Linked DNA regions of Notamacropus eugenii. The protein of the gene in region 2 binds, or shares a complex with, the protein of the main gene of each other region. Links are inferred from orthologs where the notes say so. Each region holds a gene or a part of one and is shown on either strand. Other genes may lie near its edges.

Region 1 (10,204 bases), on a different chromosome or scaffold from region 2:
CAGAAGGTAGAGGTAGATCCCTAGATAAATGAAATTAGAGAACTGCCCAGCCTCAGACACTTGCTAACAGTGTGACTCTGGGCAAGTCACTTAACCCAGTTTGCCTCAGTTTCCTCATCTCTAAAATAGGCTGAAGAAGAAAATGACAAACCACTCCAGTATCTTGGCCAAGAAAACCCCAGATGAGGTCATGAAGAGTAAACTGAACAGTAACAATTTTACCACCACAAAAATATCAATCTGGGAGGGGAACGCACACCCTCAGTTTCCCCGAGGGTACAAAAAACAGTTGCTATTTATATTCATTGAGGGACAGTGCATTTAGAGTTGGAGGCTATTTTGGCCATACAAAGAAAACCACAATGACTGGAATTTAAAGGCTTAGTCAAGTAGCTTCATCTGAAACACAAAGTGTTTTTTAAAGCCTATTTTTCTAGACTACATTTCAAGAAATCATAAATGAAAACTGATTTAGCTCTCTCAAAATAAATAATATTTTTTAAAAAATCGAGCCCCACAGGGCGACCAACAGAAGATGATTAGGATGGTGAGGGACCTTATAGCACTGAGTTGGAGGAACTGGGAACATTTAGCCTAGAGATTAGGAAGGATGGGAAGGCTGGCTCAAGATACAGAAGGAGAGACTGTTCTGCTGGGAGGCCAAGAGCAGAGAGAAAAGCAAAGGATGTAAGGAGCAGAGAGAGTCACTTCCTAAAATTTACAGCAGTGAAGCTCAATGTGAAGAAAGATGTCTACGGTAAATCTGGACAGCTACCAAAAAGCAGGGACATCTATCACCTTGCTGACAAAGGTCTGTATAGTCAAAGCTATGGTTTTTCCGGTAGCATTGTATTGCTGTGAGAAATGGGAAATAAGGAAATCTGCGTGTCCCGGAATCGACTCTCTCGAATGGTGGTGCTGGATGATGAGATTAGCGGAAACCTTTCCGGGGATAACAACTGCAAGCTGGAGAAGACTTTGGAGAGTCCCTTCAACAGCAAGGAGATCAAATTAGTCCATACCTAAAGAAATTAATTCAGGCCATTCATGGGAAGGCCAAATACTGAAGCTGAAGATTACACTTAGATCACATAATGAGAGGACAGGACTCATTGGAAAAGCCCTGATGTTGGAAAAGATTGAAGGCAAAAGGAAAATGGATGGCAATGGATGAGATGGATAGTATCATGAAAGGAATGATCATGCTTGGACAGACTGTGAAAGATGGTGGAAGACAGAAGGACCAAGACATGCTATGTGATCTGTGGGATCCTGGAGAGTATGCTGAGATTGAATACTGAATAACGATTTTCCTAACAATTAGTGCAGCTTGAAAGTGAAATGAGAAGTTCTGGGAGGTAGTGGGTTCCCCCTCAATAGACAATCTTCTCTACTACTCCCCCAAGCTTTGACTGGAAGACAATTTTTTGCTCAAATACAAGTGGGCGTATCACACTATAAGGGTAATCCTGAGTAGTTAGCCATTTCCTTCTTAGCTCATGTTACAGGTAAAGAACTGAAACTGGGTTAAGTGACATGCCCAAGGTCACATAGTAAGTATCTGAGATCAGATTTGAACTCAGGGAAGATGAGTAGTCAGGGCTCAAGCCATCTAGCTCCAGCCAGCCATCTAGCTACCACTGAGTTCCCTTACCACTATGAAATTTAGTGCTTCTCTCAAGCTGGCTGAACACTTCTCCATTCATCTAACCTTTCATGTGTGGATTGAATTAATGAGTGAAAACAATCAGAGCAGATTTCTGGCCTAAGAAAGGATCATCAGATATCTGAGATGGGATCAGAGATGCTTGTGTTCAAGGGACCTCAAGGAACTGAGAAGCCAGCCCCTACATCCCTGATAGGAGCTAGATTCATCACTAATCGAATTAGAAGGACCTTAGGGTCCAAGCCCCTCATTTTCCAAATGAAGAAACTGAGCCTTAGAATCTTGGTGGTAGCCCACAGATTTCATTCTAGTCCTGTCTTCTTTTGGCTCTTCCTCCAGAGCTCCTAAAACACTCTATCTCAAAAAAAAAGTTTCCTTCTCGAGAGAAATTGATGGTTCTCCCCTAATCCCAGTGACCACAATGAAAAGTATGTATTCCTGGCATTTTTGCTGTGTTTCCAGAGAGGACAGAAGCAAGTCTCACACACACACACACACACACACACACACACACACACACACACACACAAGAGGACTTGGGGGGAGAACTGAGACTGGCACAATTGTAAGTCTTTCTTTGTACTTCCCATACTTAGCCCAGTCTCTGGATCATAGCACTTAATAAATTGCGTGTTGACTGTCTTAAGTGACATGACAGAAGGGGCATTGATATCAACCTTCCCCAACTTGAGCTGAGAATAGGTTCTTCTAACCTCCCCTCCTCCATGGTTCTCTCTGCCCTCCCTTCATTCCCCTGTCACCAAGGCTAGGGCTTTGGGGGTGGGGAGTACCTGTCATCATAGGAGGTAATCCTCTTCCCTTCCACAATTCGAGAGGGGGTGACAAAGAGCAGCCTGAGGGACTGTAGTTTAGTCAGGAAATGACGTTCTGTGGGGGAGGGATCCAGATGAGGGTGGGAAGGGATTGAATGGCCTGGTTAGTCCCTGGGTAGGGAAGGTAGGTAGTGGGTAAATAAGAGTCTTGGGGTGAAACTCTGCTCACCTTTCACTTTGGCATCCTTCCTAAGACGACACTGAGGCACAAAGACAGTGATCTCCCGGTGCCCCCGATCCCAGAAATACTGCACAGCTAAGGCAATGCCCCGGCAGGAGAAGAAATGCTGGAGGCCATGGCTGAGAAAGCAAAGAGCTGGGATTAGACTGGTGTCCACGTTGAGAACAAGGCACTTCATCCATACCCCTGTGTCTAAGGCATCCTCCAGGGGGCTCAAAGAGAGCAGACAGACCTATCTTTGGATATAACAAGAAGCAACCAGTGAGACAGGAAAAAAAATATCACTGGCCACAGAGTCCAAAGTGCAGGATCTAGTGCAATCTCCTCCCCATTTTACAGGAAACTGAGGCTGAAGTTAAATGACTTGCTCAAGGTCCCATAGGTAGAAAGTGACAGAGCTACCATTTGAAAGCAGGTCCTCTAGTGCCAAAATCAGCACTCTCTATAGGCAGTCTCTTAGCCTCCACAATGTAATGCTGAAGCCACCCTCGGTGTCTTTAGTGAAGCATTATCTTTACAAATAATCTGAGATCAGTTTATCTAGTAAACAAGACAGAGAGGGAGGCTTTCCCAAAATCACATAGCAAATGAATCACTCTGCTGAAACTAGAACCAAAGACCCAGATTGAGATTTCAGTCCCTTTCCCAACTAGCCACATTACTGAAAACAAGTAACATCATATCTCTGCACCTCCATTTTCATTTCTTCACCTACAAATGACAATAATCAGGGGGATGTTGACAAATGTTTAACAACCAGCTCTCTCGGGGGGAAGACATATACCTATAACACATTTACATTTGGTCTACATTATTAGCATTTTCTGGGTTATTTTCTTAAGTCTAGACCATGAACAGAACAGTAAATTAAGCGTTTATTTGTAGCATTTGCCAATTTCTGTGGGATAAATGCTCACACTGAAAATCTAACCCTTCAAGTTGGCTACCAGGACAGCACTGAAAAATACTTTCACTACCTAGTTCACCATGTGGCTTCAGGTGCTTTGCTGGAATCAGGAAAACCTGAGTTTGAATTCCATCTGGACAAGTCATTTAATCTGTCTGCCTCAGTTTCCTCCACTGTGAAATGAGGATAATTAAATAGTATATATCTCATGGTCAGTAAGAGTACAAGTAAAGCACTTCACAAATCTTAAAGTGCTGTATAAGTGCTAACTATGGTTAGGATGACTATTATCATTTTCTTTAAGCCCTCCCTAACAGTGCCTTCAGGCTGGAGGTCAGAAGAGTACTCACTTCATAGCTATATTGCTGCCATCGAGGACAACATGTCGAAGACCTGTTGCACCAGGAACATTGGTGAGGTTCAAGGAAAACGGCATCTTCAAGGCCTCCAGAAAGCGCTGGGTTTTGGTCACCTCACAGCTGCCACCAGTGTTGCCACCTAAGCTTCCTTTGGGAGTCTCCTGCTCCTTAAGTCCCACTGACTGCCCATCCCCAGGCTTTGGAGAAACAAGCCATGTGGGCTGAGCCCCAGGTAGAATGTTGGGCCCCACTGGTGGGGAGGATTCTCCATTGTTGAGCTGAAGGAGGGGCGTTAGGGGGCCCCTCCACTGCTGGTCACACACCACTGCCTGAGGAGAATGGCCATAGGAATCAGCTGCAGCCTGTTTCACTCCTCGGAGGAAGTCAGCCTTGACAGTGAGTGGGCTCGGGAATTGATCTTGGCTCTGGGGCCCTTCTCCTTGAGACATATCATCAGGTTGATCCTCTCTTTTTAAGGCCTTTCCTTCCAGACACCATAATGTGTCCTGGTCCTCCTCCCTATTATGTCCCCTTTTCCCACAATCCCTCTGCCCAAGGGGCCCTTCTCTGTCCCATTCTCTCCCCATAGTCAAGTCATCCCCATTCCAATCTCTCTCCCCAAGGAACCCATCTTTCCCCCAGTTCCTTTCCCTAGATAGATAATTTCTTTCCTCAGGGATCCCTTCCCTCCTCCAGTTCCTCTGCCCAGGTAATCCCTCCCTGGGACTCCCTGGTCTCTCCAAGTTTCTTTGCCCAGAGAAATTCTGTGTATGGGAGTTCTGTTCCCGGACCAGTTCTCCAATCCTCCTGGAATCCTCCTCTCCCGTGAACCACAGTCTTTCCCAGTCTCTCTCTCCAGGATCAGAAGGCAGACACTCTGCCCTAGCATAAACCCCTTCCTTAACCCCTTCCTGGTCAACAGACCTGGTGCCCAATGAGACAATGTCATCCTCTCTGACTTCTCTGCCCTCACTCGAAATCTTTCTAACAGGGTCCTCCCAAACACCATTCCCCAAGAGAACTGGGCTCCTCTCTTGCCCCTGAGGAGGTTCTGGAAGTCCTTGCTCCCTACCTGCCTCTCTTGCCAAGTTTAACAGCCACTCCTGGACAGGCACTGGCAAATCCAGGAGAGCCCTGGATTGCTCATCCCCATACCTCCCAACCAGGGCCTTGAAGGCCTGAGTCACTTGTTCCCCAGCACTCTTGGACTGTGGACACTGGAGACCACCTTGCCTCAGCTTCCCTAACAGATCTTCCATCCTGCTTTGGGCCATAACAAAGGCTTCGATCAGGCCCCCCAGTAACAGAGAGCCTGGGGCTTGGGGCACCATGTGAGCTGAAGTACCCCAACACAGGCAGTCCAGGAAAAGACCCCCAGCACCAAAGAAGACACAGTGCAGGGCTGCAGGGTAGCTGACTTCCTCCCACACCTCTGGATTGCAAAGGCCTTTCAGGTACTCCTGGAGGAAAGGAAAGGGAAGGAATCATTCTTCTAGCTAATTTCTGTCCTTCTGGTCTGTCTACGCACTCTTCACGCCCTCCCCCCCAGAGCTTCCAGTATTGTGGCTACACACACACACACACAGACACAGACACACACACACACACACACTCACTCACACACACACACACACACACACACACTCACTCACACACACACTCACACACACACACACACACACACACACACACACAACACACACACACAGAAGGGGGAGGGAGGTGGTGCCGTTTAGGAAGGAGAAGGAATCTCAGCTCTCCCTCCCCACCCCAGCCTCTGTATAGAGAGAAGTTGAAACTTGGCAACCTGCAAGAAATGAAACCAAAAATCAAAAGGCAGCGAGAGCCAGGAAATCCCCGAGCGATGGGCCAGAGAGGCGGAGGAAGTGGACGAGGGACAGCAGCGACTCCGGCCAAGGGGAGCCTCTCCAAGAGCAGGACCACGGGCCCTCTGGGGGACCTTCTCCCCCCCTCCCACCCCCACCCCCCCAGCCCGAGGGAAGGGGAAGTGTCACCTTGGCTCTGCCCACGTTCTCCCGGGGCCCCTCCAGCTGCAGCCAGATGTGGGGGCTCCCCGCGCAGGCCTTCTCAAGGACACTCAGCCGCACTCGGAAGATGCGCTCCACCTGAGGCCGCTGTTTCAGCACTACGTCCTCCGCATCGGCCAGCACCGTGAAGCGGTCCGTGGTCCCAGGAGCGGCCCCCGACGGGAGCATGGTGGCCGGGCCAGCCCTGACAGCGTGGGAAGAAGCCAGGCTCAGACATGGCAGCCCCTCTGCGCGAATCCTCCCCGCTCCCAGGATCGGATCTGGCTCCAACGTCATAGCCCCGAACCTCAAGTCCCACAGGGTTAGCCAACTACGCTCCGCCCCTATCCCCCCAGCTGACCCCGGGGACGGTGCTCCTGGTGGTGGTCCTGGCTGCCCCGTCGTGGGGCTGTCCCATCCAGGGGCATAAACCTCTGCTGCTCTCTCGGGCTTTCTGAGTCCTCGTCTCCTCGGTCTCCCCTAGTACTTCCATCCCTCCCCTGGGGAGAAATGGGAAGGTGGAAAGGCGCTGATCCGTCTTGGCTCCCGGAGTACCTAGAGCTTATGGCCAGCGATCTCGGTGTCCTACAGCTCGTGAGCCCGAAGCTCCCGCCCTGGAGGTAGAGGGGCAAGAGGGAGCAGGTCTGGAGTTCCACCGGACCCTGGCAGACCCCAGGTTCCTGACTGTCTCACGTACACAACTGCTTTCCTCCTCACTTCCTGGTCAGGGGAGGAGTTTTACTCAGCTCCACCCTGGGGCTGACCTGGCCCTGGCGACTTTGGGTCTCCACCCAGGCTGTCAGAGGGCGGGGGCAAAGGGGTGATGGGGAGGAGGGCGGAAGACGACCAGAGGCTCGCTCTAGCCTGTCCCTATTCCTGTCCCCCGTCCATCTTCCCTCCTTCCATCTTTTACTTCTGACTTCTTCCTGCCCTTGCCTTTCTCCTTATTTTCTCTCTTCTTTCTTCCTGCCTCAGTTTTCCATAATTCTCCCCTCTGCCAGCCTCCCCTAGTACATTGTTTATAAATTGGAAATGGCATCCTAGAATCCTAGTACTGTAATATCTGTTGATCTGAATTTTAGAGCTAACCGGGTCCTCAGAGATTATCTCATCCAACCCTCTTCATTTTGCAGAAGAAAAAACTAAGCCCTAGGGGTCGTTACTCGGCCCAAAATCAGGTTCCCAGAGTGTGATCCAGGGACCCTGCGGAGACAGGGGAGGGTGATAAGGGTGAGGGCCACAAGGCCAAACTATTTTCATAAGAATACTGACATTTTAATTTCTAATACACTAAATATCCGTAGATACAGCCCATAGAAACAAAAGCTCTTGGAGAATCCTTAATAATTTTTAGGAGTTTAAAGGGGCCCAGAGACCAAAATGTCACGGCGTTCATTAGTGGCAGAACCTGGCCTAGAACTCATTCATGTCTGCTGGTTCCTGGCTTACTTTCCTTTCCAGAACTTTAATTACTTGGGAAAAGAGATGGCTACCCCTTTCCACAGCTTCCTATGATTCTCAGTACAAGAAAAAGATATTAGGGAGAGCTGGGGGCTGGGGAGGAGTGCATGGGAAGGAGGGGGAAAAGAGAATGGGGCTTATTAAGGGAGCAGGATCATCAAAATTTATCCCACTAATATCTACGCATTTTAGGTTTGCATAGCACTTTGCATGTTATCTTATTTGTTAAGGATGAAGGGGAGAGAAAGGCAACATTACATTAACATCAACAACCAGGTGTGTAAGGAGCTGGGGACAGAGGGAGAAGCCCCTCATCCACACTCCTATCTCTCATCAGCTCTAGCTCCTGCCTCACTGGCTCTCAAGGACTTTCCCTGGGGTCCTGGCTATGCTCCCTCTCATTCCTCCTCCTTTTCCCTCTGTTCCTTCCTGGGGCCCATTGGCTGTCTGTTGTGCACTCTGCCAGAGGGGAGGGATCCGTAGCAGTGAGTGGCAAGACACAGAGACACACAGATCCTGTGGGTCCCAGGTAGAGATGGAACAAGAGATAGATAGACCAGTTGACAAGGAGACTGGGGCAAAGAAACAAGAGGGGCAGTTAGTATAAGACCAAAGAGGCAGAAGAGGGCAGGAAGGAGACTATAGGAGGGAGAGAAACTGAAGGAGGGAGAGCTACAGAAAACAAAAAGAGGTATAGAGGGCTTCATTCCTGTAGGGCAGGAGATAAAAGTGGTCCTGGACACTGGGAAAAACCAGCTGAGCCCGTAATGTCTTTCCTGACACTTGTACTCCTGGCTTTCGGATCTGGTCAGGCACAGGAAGGGACAGAGCCTGTCCTGTTGGAAGGAGAATGCCTTGTGGTATGTGAACCTGGCCGGGCAATGGCAGGAGGTCCAGGCGGCGCAGCCCTGGGAGAGGCTCCACCAGGGCGGGTGGCCTTTGCTGCTGTCCGGAGCCACCATCATGAACCAGCTGGAGAAACAGGCAATGGCACCAGTGGCGCCATCTACTTTGACCAGGTAACATTCTTCCCCTACCACATCCACCCCACCTGCTGACCCCTGAATGGAGAGGAAAACTGGCTTCTATTCTGAGTCCCACTCAGTCTTCTACCCTCCCAGAGTTCATCTCTTCTTCTCTCTTTAAGAAAACCAGCCCAATCGCCATTTCCTACACCTTTCTCCCCTTTCCCCAAGTAGTCTTATTCAAGAGTCTTCCTTACCCCCTTTACCCCATTCATCCATTCCTTCCCTCTACTCCCCACCCTTTCCTTTTTTTACACCCCACCAATTCCTCTTTCTCACCCTTCCCATAATGTTTTTTTCCTGACCCTCTCTCCCTCTGCCCAGGTCCTAGTGAATGAAGGCAATGGCTTTGACAGGGCCTCAGGCTCCTTTATTGCCCCTGTCCGGGGTGTCTACAGTTTCCGGTTCCATGTGGTAAAGGTGTACAACCGCCAGACAGTTCAGGTGAGCCCAGAGCCCTGCTTCTCCTAAAGTTCAAGGAGAGGAAGAGAGAGGCAAAGGCAGTCTGGATACACCCAGCCCCATCCCTGACTCACACTGGGTTTCTCAATTCTAGTTTAGTCACCTGCCCCCACTTTAAGACAGTGTCCACAGGACTCCATAGGAGTCTGGATCACCTCTGTCCAGTAAGTAGGGCTGGAGATCCTGGCAAAGTCCAAAGGTCCACTTCTAAAGGTTGAGTGGCAGTTGTAGGCCAAGTCAAGGGAGATAGAATATATGTAGCCCTCCTGGCCCAGGGAATTTGGAATCCTGGTACAGGGAGCCTTAGGGTCACTAAGATCATAGACACAGAACCTAGTTAACCCTTGCTCTCTCGGAAGGGCTAAGATTTAGAAGGAAGGAGACAAGCATTTATTAAGTGCCTACTATGTGCAAGGCCCTGTACTAAGTTTACAATAACCCTAAAAAGTAGATGCTATTATTACGTCATTTTACATTTGAGGAAACTGAGTGAGACAGAAGTCAAGGGTCTTACCCAGAGTCACATAGCTAGTAAGTGTCTGAGGCTGGATTTGAACTCAGATATTCCTGCGTCGAGGCCAAGTGCTCCATCCACTGAATCACCTAGCTACCTCAGAAATGATGAATGACCCCACTGAAAGAGTCGCTATACCAAAATCCAAAGATTTCTTAGACTATGGGGGGGGGGGGGGGTCCCAGGGTAAAGGGCCTAATTACCCCAAATTCACCCTTCCCCAGGTAAGCCTGATGCTGAATACATGGTCTGTGATCTCAGCTTTTGCCAATGACCCTGATGTGACCCGAGAGGCGGCCACTAGTGCTGTGCTCTTACCCCTGGACCCTGGAGACCGAGTGTCCCTGCGTCTCCGCCGAGGGAACCTGCTTGGTGGCTGGAAGTTCTCCAGTTTCTCTGGCTTTCTGATCTTTCCTCTCTGAGGGAAAGTACCACCCTCTCGGCTTGCTACCCTCCCTACTACCCACCTCCACCCTCCCCCACCCCACAAACATACCCTGAATTCCTTCACTTCTGTTCACCTTCTTCTTGGAATGCAGGAATGTCAAGGGACTTTCTTCAGGGGAAGGGACTTTAATAAGCCCTGGGTCTCTAATATTCATTCATTTCAAAACCAGCAGTACTATCCCTGGAACTGGGAGTATGACCTTATATTCTACACCCCCAAATCATAATGCAAATATAGCTAATCCTTTAGATAAGTGTTATTAAAAGGACAATTTCTTTTCCCAAAAACTGTCATCTTACTAAAAATCCAGGACATGTAGCT
Region 2 (10,204 bases):
AGAATAAAAGGCTGGAGGTTCCCCAAGCCTGCTCTAATCCAGTCTAATTGGGAAAGACAATACATAATAGGAAGCTGAAAAGGGTGAAGGAGAGGTACCCAAGGAAGGGGGGGTATGGGGGAGAAATAAGAAAAGTGCCAAAGTAATACAGCCAGGTGAGAAATAGCCCCCTTCTCAATTAGAGGTTTTAGAGTTCATGGCTTTGCCCTCCAGTCAAAGGGGCAGAAGATAGTGATGAGGTGTGTGTTCTAAGTCTGATTTGATCCTGCAGGATCTAACTTTATTAGTTTTTTTTCCTCCCACAAAAACATACCCTAGTGCTCTTTCCCTCCCTCCCTCCTTTTTGTCTCTCTCTGTCTCTAACTACCTTGTTTTTGCATTTTCCTTTGACTTTGTAATGTTCATATATGCATATGTTGGCTTCTCCAATAGAATATGAGCTCCTTGAGAGTTTTGTTTCAGTTTCAATTTTGTCTTTCTACCTCCAGCACTTGGCATGGCTCCTGGAACACTGTAGGGACTTAATAAATATTTGTTGATTTACTCACTTATGGAGCAGTAACGAATAAAGATGAAATTGACTTTAACAGCAAATTGTTACATTTATATTTACGTAAACACGTAGAGAATATGTTTCCATATAATATTGTTAGAGATGAACTTGACACAAAAAAGGCATCAAGAAAAATTTATTAAAAATGGGTTCAGAGGAGGTTAGGCCTTCTATGTTCCTCCCCTGAAGGAACTGGTAGCTTCCAGCATGGCCACTGGAAAGACTATGACCATGTCAGGATGAGGCAGGACCCTTATAGAATTCCGAACTTTGGATTTCCCTCAATACTGTCCCCTGGCCACGTGACTTCATGTCCTCCTCTGATAGGCTTTCCCTTAAACAACTTATTGAGCATGCACAGTAGTTTTCAGATCTTCACCTCATTGTACTAGGTCACCCCCCCCCCCCCATCAAACTGTGGAAATAAAACTTCCTGTTTTCCCACAATATTAATCTCCCTTTTCTTACTTTTAAAAAGTAAGCTAAGTCTTGCAAAACTCTCTTCCTTGCTCGCTGGGTATGTGCTGTTGAGAAAAACATTGCTAGGAAGGGAGGGGACAAGGTGGAAAAAATAGAGACAAACAAAACGAGTTTTGAAATACCAGTTTCCTACTAATAAATCTCCACTCACAATGAAGAAGATTACTTGGAAAAAGCAGAAAACATAGCTACGTGTCAACTGATATCCACTATATATCCACTAAGGCCTCCCACTGCTCTTTGGAGTTAGTTAGCGATACAAGTACATTTTTTGTAGAGGGGAGAAATTTTCCCTCTCTAATCTCTTCAAGGTCACAGCTGCAGCTGCAGAAACAAAGACTTCTTCAAAACAAAATTTTGGCAAGTAATAGTTTTTACCTTATTTGTTATATGTACAGCAAGTTTTCAGATATCAAAAAAAGTGTCTTCTTGCTGATGGAAATTGGGTTTTCTTGGATATATTTATGGAGGGAAATTAGTCAATCAATTGACAACACTTATGAAGGGTTATTATGTTCCAGGCACTTTATACAATGTATGTATATTCCTATGTATATACACAGGAAAAGGCAGTAACTAACTGCTGGCATGACATCTTAAGCAAGTGGTCCTTTCATCAGCAAAGCCTCATCAATCATTTTTGTGATCAGCAAACTTACCATGAGCCTCTCCCCTTAAGTTAAGGGTTCTTAATCAAGGATCTATGAATCTGTCTTTAAAAACTGATCACTACATTTCAATATAATTGGTTTCTCTTGAATTTAGTCATTGTGGATCACTCAATTCCCATATTTCTAGAAGAGACTGACCTTGAATTCAGGTTGTCATGACTGTAAGCCAGCTCTCTATCTACTATATGTTGCCTTTCCCTTGTGGCAATTTTAAAATGACAAACCACAAGTAGCAGAAAGAGGCTGAAATCATCATTGACAGAATGCTCAATTTGTCATAGAATCACAGAATTTGGGGGTTGAAAGGGACCCCAGCAGCTCTTTATTCCCACTCATACACAAAATATGCTCTAATATACTGTAAGGATGAGGGTCTATTGACCAAATCAGTGCATAAATTAGGCAAAAGATTGCAAAGAAAAATCAGATAAGAACTCATCTGTATTGAATCATCCAGAAGTGTGAACTAGGTACACAACAAGGCCTGGATAACTCCACTGAATCATTCAATTAATGGCATTTCATTTGGATGCCGCAAGTTGTTTTTTTTTTTTTCTGATTGGTTGAAAGACTTGCTTTGTGGGGCCTGTATAAAACCAATAAATTAGTCTGGGATCAGGGACTTCAGTCTCCAACAGTTTAGTGGTGGAACTTCCAGCCAAACCCTTGAGAAGAAATTGATTGGGAGAAACAGGAGGAGCAGAACACCATTCTCAGTTTCATCTGCTTAATGCAAAGAGGAACTTCTATCCTTCCATCAACGCAATTTCAGCAAGTCATGGCACGGAGGTGCAGGAAGGCATTCTAGACAGAAGAATAATGTCTGAGTCTTTCATTGTTATGACTGAATCAGGAAGAAGCAGACTTGGCCCATAATCATCCTACCACGTTAGAGCAAGGTATAGACTGGTATAGAATGTATACTGACAAAATAAAATGGTGAAACTAAGTAGGCAAATTTTAAGAGACGAACAATCATTTCACTGACTTTCTTGGTTATTGCTGTTGCTTACCTCCAATCTCGAGGAGAACCAATGAGGTGGATGTCTATACTTGTTAGTGAACTGGATTTAAGTGAGGCAAAGTTGTCTGTCTCATTCTCTCCTCCAGGGTCATCAAAGTCCATCAGCAACACAAAGTCAAGACCATTGTTGATGGCTCAGGATGCAGTGACTGATCTTGGCCTTTCTAAATTAAGGTCTTTTCCAGGTCTCAGTTGTCTGAGGCAATGTCCATTCTATGACTAAGGGCTAGGTAAGAATTGAGACAAAAAAAAACCCTAAACCACCACAACCAAACAAAATCCAAAACAAAACCAGATGGTAAATTACCATCACAAAAACATCAATCTTGGAATGGAAGACCCGTAGAATTTCTGGCCTGAACAGAAAACAATTTCCATTTACCCTCATTCTAAGTCATCAAAATCTAAACAATGACCTGCTGAGGCTTAGCCAGAGGGCTATTATTGGCCAATAAAAGCTAGAGTGATTTGAGTTTAAAGGTATGATCAAATAACTGCATGACTGACTGACCGAATGACACATTCTGCTATTTTAATGAGTCAATCATATTTATATGATATCAGTGATTATATATTATATAATTATGATTATATGATTGAATGGAATATAGAATTATAGAACATACTAGGTATAAATATATTATATTGTAATAAATGCTCGTTGACATCATTTATTATTTATTAGTCTATTAATATTTGCTAATATTTAACATTAGTATTTATTAATACTTATTATCAGTAAGCATTTATTACATGTTTATTATGTGCTGTGCACTGGGCTAAGCATTGGAAATACAAATCCAAAAGAAGGATTTTTTTAACCAGAGATAAAAAAGAATTGGCACCAGCAGTTCATAAGGCAAGACTATTTTCTTCCCTCCTTTACGGAGGTAGAGAGGTACAGGTATGGAATCAGAATCAGTTGACAAGGTTTTAAAAATTTCTAAACTCCTCTCCCCCTTTTTCTTATTCTTTTTACAAGTGGTGTCTTACTGAGTAGGATAGTAATTATGGAAAATAAAAGTTACCAATAAAAATTATTTTAAAAGAATAAGGCAAGAACTTCTGTCTTTGGCCTTTCTTTTATCCCCATGGTTTAGCACAGTGCCAGAGACATAGTATGTGTTAATCAATGCTTATTTAATTGACTACAACCATATAAATGGAAAGAACAAAATCCTGAAACTGGATAATGTGTAATTAGACCAAGCTTAGCTTCAGTGAAGAGATGAGAAATTGGGGTTTTCCCCTATTTTGGCAGAAGTAAGTTGCATGTACCGACACGTCTGACAGATAGGTTGGTTACTGTTGCTGAAATGATTTTTTCCCCCTCGTTTTTATTCTTTGTTAAGAGGGATGGGAAGGGATGTACTCGTAAATGTTCAACTGGCTTTCTGGGGAAAAATGTGTGCAGTATACATTTTAAAGTTCCAGTTACACGAACAGTTCTCCACCACTTTAAGTCAAGATAACTAGTAAAACAATTCTGAAGTGTAAATGATCACTTTGAAAAATTAACAGTTGGCTCTTAAGCTATCATCTGAATTGGCTCCATCACACCCTTGGATTCATTTGTAAAGAAAGTAATGTGAAAATAGTAATACAAATTCTTTTAAACGACGAACAACTTTGGCATAAGTGAAAAATAAGCATGCAACAGAATTTATTGGATAAACAAATCATAGTATCTCCTATTTACAGTTATAAAGTTCTTTATGTGCTGTGTTGTCTCACGTGACCCTCCCAAATCCTACGGGGAGGTAGGGCATTACCGCTATTAAGTAGAAGATACGAAGGAAAAAATGGAAATCAACCTTTTTTTTATTAAGCGCCCACTAAACGTCGGACTCGGTGGGCGGCTACACCAAGAATGAAAACAATCCTTTCCACTTACGGAACTTACAGACATACGTAGGGGGCAGAGAAATGCAGAGCGAGGAAGGGGAGAGTCCGGGGCCCGGGGTGGGAGGGAGCCCAGGGCCAGCGACCAGCACCGCGGGCTAGTCCTACGGCGCAGCCCGGGCTCATTTCTGGACTAGCCGAGACTCGACGTAAGAAGCCCGGGGGGGAGGGCTGTTCCCAGGCAGAACTGGCAGGAGTTGGAGAAGGGAGGAGGAGGAGGTCGGGGGAAAGGGGCTCCCCCTCTTTCCTTCGCTTTCTCGCCCTGCGCACCAGCTGTTCTGGAAGGCAGTGAAAGTCTGGGGTAATTGCCGAGCCTCCCCAGGGAAGTCCCCGATCGAGGGCTCCCAGACCAGCAGTTTTCCCACTAGAAGCTAATCTCCAGGAGGCAGCCCCGGGCTGGGGCGTTTCCGGAAAGTCAGAGCCCCCGGTTGGGCCCGCCCCCTCGGAGCTCTAAGTTTCGTTTCCCTAGCCCAGCCTCGGCAGTCCCGATTCGGAGTCCGCTCGGCTTCCTGGGCGGCTGCGCTCGCGGAGCCCGGGCTGGCCATGGCGGACCCGGCCGTGTGCGGCTTCCTCACCCAGGTCCTGTGCACCCATGGGGGCCGCATGGAGCTCCGCAAGCTGCTCGGCTTCATCGAGCTGCCCGAGGCGCAGCTCCTGGAGGTGCTGAGAGAAGCCGGCCCCGATCGCTTCGTGCTCCTGGACGAGGACAGCGACGCCGGCCCGACGGTGCTGGCGACCACCCGCGTGCGGGTGTGCCGGCGCATCGTGTGCGGGGGCGCCTGCGAGGCCCTGCACCTCTGCAAGCTCAACCTGATGGGCAGGTGCCGCCGCGAGAGGTGAGCGCGGCCGCGGCCGGACCCCGGGGCCCGGACCCCCGGGCCCTCTCCCTTCCCTTCTCCCACACGCCCACCCTCCAAGCCTTGCACCCCCTTCGCCTCCATCCCTCCCCCGCCGCCTCTGTTCCTTCTCCCTTCCGTCCCCCCTCCTCATCCACCTCCCCTTCAAGTCCCCTTCCTTTCCATTCCCGCCCCCTTGGCATTTCTCCCTCCTTTCTGTCCCCCCACCTCCTTTCTATTCCCCTCTCTCCCAGCCCTCCCCTCCCTTTCCCAGCCCATCCCGGGAAGTCCAGGCCCGTCCACCCCCCGCCTCCGCATCCCCCGCACCCCCTGCCCGGATTCGGCTAATCTGGCCCCTCATCGGAACAGCCTCTACTTTGAACACTGCTGCCCTCCACTTCCTGCTTACGTGTAACTTGGCTGCAAGTTGTTTTCAGTATTTTAAAAACTTGTGCCTTCTATCCCCTGCCCTGTGGGCGGATGGGCCCCGAAACAGGGTTTATCAGAGAGACAGACTGGATTAGAAAAGCCTGAGGCTGGGCACTCCCCCGGCGCCTTGCCCAGGTCCCGCGGCCCCGCCGGACGTGTCCACCCAGTCCGTACTCTGCTGTCTGGCCCCCAAAGCCCGCACTCCCAGCCTTCTGCCTCTGAAAAATCCGTAACCCCAACGGGACCCGGCCGCCTCCCCTCCTTCCCATTGTGCCCCGCCCCCCATTGTCATAGTCTTTTACCTTTACTTTAGTTCTTATCACCACCGAAACTTTGTTCCGGTTATCAGTGCTGATGGGCCAGCCACCCCCGGGATTCTTTTTTTTAGAGGCTTTATTTATTTTTGTTACCGCGCTAGAGAAGCCCACCCTCTGACACAATGTATATGTACATGTTAGATGGATAACTGTTCGTGCTTCTGTGCATCCTCTCCTTCTCTGGAGGCGGATCTCATCTTCCGTCGTAGGTCTTTTGGAGTTGCTTTGACTAGTGATAATCCTCAGAATTGATTAATCATTCACAGTTATTCCTTTTTTTAGGTTTTGTTTTGTTTTGTTTTTTTCGGTTACCTGGGTTCAGTTACTCTTCAAACATTGCTGTTACCGTCTACCACATTCTCGTACATTTGCTCCTTGCTTTTCATTAATTCATTAAAGTCATTCCATGTTTTTTGTAAATCAACCAGCTCATCCTTTCTTACAGCTAGAATTCTCTTCTGGCTTCCTCCTGTAACCCGGGCCCCTTCTTTGTCTCTCTTCCTGTATGTTAGGTGGTACTCCAAAGCTTAGTCCCTGAAGCAGCTTTTGTGTCTTCCATTTTTGCTTCCACATTGTTCTTTCCCCCGTGGAGATCTCATGTGTTCCTGGGAAGCACTGTGGCTTTCTCACCCAAATTTACTTCTGTTTCTCTGATAAGCCCCAGGGCCGGTCTCTCCACCTATCTGCCCGGTGGAAAAGGGGGCACCTAGTATCCTACCAACAGCTCAAATCTATGTCATCATCTTTCCCTCTAAACCAACCTCCTTTTGTCACATGTATCATCATTCTAACAGGTAACAAAACCTCAACGGTACATAATAATTTGCAAACTTTAAAATGCTATACAAATGCAATTCTTCTTCTTATTTTATTTCTGATTCTTTTTCTTTCACTTGCTCACAACTCCCAGTACAGCAAGTGAGTTTTTTTTGTGTTGTGGATTTGGCATTCTGATAAAACCTATGGGTCCCCCTTTCAGAATGAAGTTTTTCAATGCATAAAATTAAATACCTTAGGTTATGAAAGAAACTAAAGGTTATTAAAAATAAATGTATAATTTTTTTCCTCTAAGTTCACAGACTCCCTGAAATCTATCCATGCCTTGTGGATTTAGGGACCTCAGGTTAAGAATTCCTGATCTAGGGGTTTTCTTTATAATATCTTGTGTCCATCTTTCCCATTTGTTGCTGAAGCCACTTTCCTAATTCAGGCTCCCATCACCCATTGTCTGGACCATTGAAGTATACTGCTGGCGGTCTCCCTGTCTTCAATTATCTCCTCATTACAGTTTATTCCATTCATTGCCCACAGGTTAATCATTCTGAAACATTTGTACGTCACTACCCACTCTGCTCAGAAATCTTTAATGGCTCCCCATGGCAGAGGTGCAGACACAGTCTGATAAGCAAGGCCCTCCCCATATAACCCTGGATGACTCTCCAACCTTTTCCTTGACCATCCCCTGTGCCACGGGTGTCAAAGAGAAAGGGGGCCACTAAACTGTACATAACGATCTCTGCAGCTACATATTGACTTAGAAACCACTTGCTAAAATTATCTATGCATTACTTGTTTTTATGTTTTTAAATTTGTTTTTCCAAGCTCATTAAAGCTTTATTTTACTGACCAAAGATGTGAAAGATGACCATTATATTTTAATCTGGTTCCCTCTTGTAATAAATAACAGTAATAATAATAATAAAAAATAAATTAGTTACATTTTAATCTGGTTCCCTCCTACAATAAAAATATACATAATAATAAAATAAATAATAAAATTACATTATAATCTGGTTCCCTCCTGCAATAGGAAATGTTGTGGGTCTCAGACCTCTGAGCCTCCTGTTTGACACCTCTGCCCTATACGAAGCCCATACTGGCCAAACTGTTTTGCTCTTTGTTCCCCCAAATGTGCCTTGGGCACTCCTGCCTCCCAGTCTTTGTGCTCTCCTTTATACCTGAAATGTCTCACCCTCTCCCTGCTTCTGATAATCTATGCCTTCCCTTCAAGGATAAACTCTAGTCTCACCTCCTTCCTTCCTCTCCACCTCCCAAGCCCTTCCCTGTCCCGGTTCCCCTTCCCACCTCTCAGCCTTATAGGAATATTCCTCCTTTTGAACTCCTGCTGCATTTTGTTTGGTATTTAACATAAATAAGTTTTTTTATGGTGTTTTATATGCTTTTGTTTCTGTCCCATCTTTTACCCCTAGATTGTAAATTCTTTGAGAGCAGTGACTGTTTTACAACTCTTATATCAACCGTGTGTATAATGTCTTATGCCTAGTAAATTCTTCAGTGAATGTCATTTGGTTATGTTGATGACTCATACCTCTGACCTGCTGACATTCTCTTCATCATAGAAGAAAATAGAACCTTGCAAAAACATGCTATTTCCTCATGTTTCTGTTGAGAGAAAATTCACATCTTTGGGTTTTTTAAAATTTATTTTTAGTTTTCAGCTTTCACTTTTATAACATTTTGAGTTCCAATTCCCCCCCTTTCCCCTCCCCCAGATGGCATGCAATTTGATATAAGCTATACGTGTATAATAATATTAAACATATTTCCACATTAGTCATGGTATGAAAGAAGAATCAGAACAAAAGGGAAAAATCACAAGAAAGAAAATAAAAGAGAGAAATTAGGATGCTTTGATGTACATTCAGCCTTCATAGTTCTTTCTCTAGATGTGGATAGTGTTTCCTTCATGAATTGTCTTAGATCTTTGCATTACTGAGAAGAGCTAAGTCTTATCAAATTCAGTCATTGCGCTGACTTTGTGCAGCCCCAGTGTGGCTGTTCTGTGTACAGTGTTCTCCTGGTTCTGCTCACTTCACTCAGCATCAGTTCATGTCATGAAGTTTTTCCAGGTTTTTCTGAATTCTGCTTGCTTATAGAACATGTTCTATCATGTTCTTATAGAACAGCAGTCTTCCATTCCATTCATATACCACAACTTGTTCAGCCTTCCTCAATTGATGGACATCCCTTCAATTTCCAATTCTTTGCCACCACAAAAAGAGCTGCTGTATTTTTGTACATGTGGGTCCTTTCCCCTTTTTTGTGATCTCTTTGGGATACAGACCTAGTAGTGCTATTGTTGGACCAAAGAGTATACATGGTTTTATAGCCCTTTTTGTATAGTTCCAAATTGTCCTCCAGAATGGTTGGATCAGTTCACAACTCCAACGGTATATTGGTGTTCTAATTTTCCTCCATCTTTTCCAATATTTGTCATTATCCCTTTTTTTGTCTTATTCAGTCTGATTGATATGAGTTGATACCTCAGTTTTGTTTTGATTTGTATTTCTCTAGTCAATAGGAAAATTCACAATTTTGATGAAAAGATTGTTATGTGTATTTCTTTTGCTTCTGTTCTGTTTGTTGATAATGGTTGTGTGTGTATGTGTTTATATACACAGATAGAGGGGAAGGGAGAGAGAGAGAGAACTGTGGAATTAATTATTTAAAGTAAGAAAGTTATAAAGAACTATGAATCACAGACTTTTAGAAGTGGAAATTACAAAGATCTTAGGGATTGTGTAGTTCAGTTACCTCATTTTACAAATGAGGAAACTGAGGCCTAGAAAGATGAGGTAGCATCCTCAGTTATAAAGAGAGTCAGAGGTAAAACTCCCATGACACTGTCCATTCTCGAATACTGCATTGCCTCCCTTGTTCAAATGTGCCCTTCAGGAATGGGCAGAGAAAAAAATCATCCGATGGTAAAATAAGTGTCCACTTCCTTAAAACCCTAAAAGTTGTCAACAAATAAAAACAAAACCTAATCTTAATAAAAATAACTTTGGCATCATAACAGTTTGCAAATTGTCCCTGCCTGGCCTCTTCTTGCCCATTGAGGCCTTCCTTTGGTAAGACCAAAAATTCTCTGCAGAAAAAATCTCTGCTTTGTTGGTTAATGAGCCAGTGTTTGAAAAGGCTCAGACGTTTTTGTTGGCTGTTACGACAAACCTGTCTCTGCGAAGATTGAC

Evidence for each region. Proteins that work in one complex are often made in the same cells at the same time.
Region 1: the proteins of ZC3HAV1 (region 2) and KHNYN are in contact, whole or in part, in a crystal structure (PDB 9BGL), measured with the Homo sapiens proteins. The link is inferred for Notamacropus eugenii from reciprocal best matches to the Homo sapiens genes ZC3HAV1 and KHNYN. Residues at the interface, in NP_064504.2 of Homo sapiens: Glu5, Val6, Cys8, Phe9, Lys12, Ile13, Ala16, His17, Glu29, Ile30, Ala31, Leu32, Leu113, Glu115, Phe118, Ser127, Gly128, Leu129, Asn130, Glu133; in NP_001277186.1 of Homo sapiens: His651, Lys652, Asp654, Phe655, Gln658, Arg659, Pro661, Tyr662, Asn677, Phe678.

Annotation. Positions count from the first base shown.
Region 1 is NC_092878.1:8,803,577-8,813,780, forward strand, and holds the start of KHNYN (protein KHNYN), read right to left. Parts: upstream 6,327-10,204; 5' UTR 6,271-6,326; coding exon 5,962-6,270; intron 5,407-5,961; coding exon 3,938-5,406; intron 2,800-3,937; coding exon 2,669-2,799; intron 2,555-2,668; coding exon 2,458-2,554; intron 1-2,457. Other genes in the region: CBLN3 (cerebellin-3), read left to right, coding at 8,202-8,453, 8,784-8,903, 9,660-9,857.
Region 2 is NC_092874.1:110,015,938-110,026,141, forward strand, and holds the start of ZC3HAV1 (zinc finger CCCH-type antiviral protein 1), read left to right. Parts: upstream 1-5,007; 5' UTR 5,008-5,173; coding exon 5,174-5,466; intron 5,467-10,204.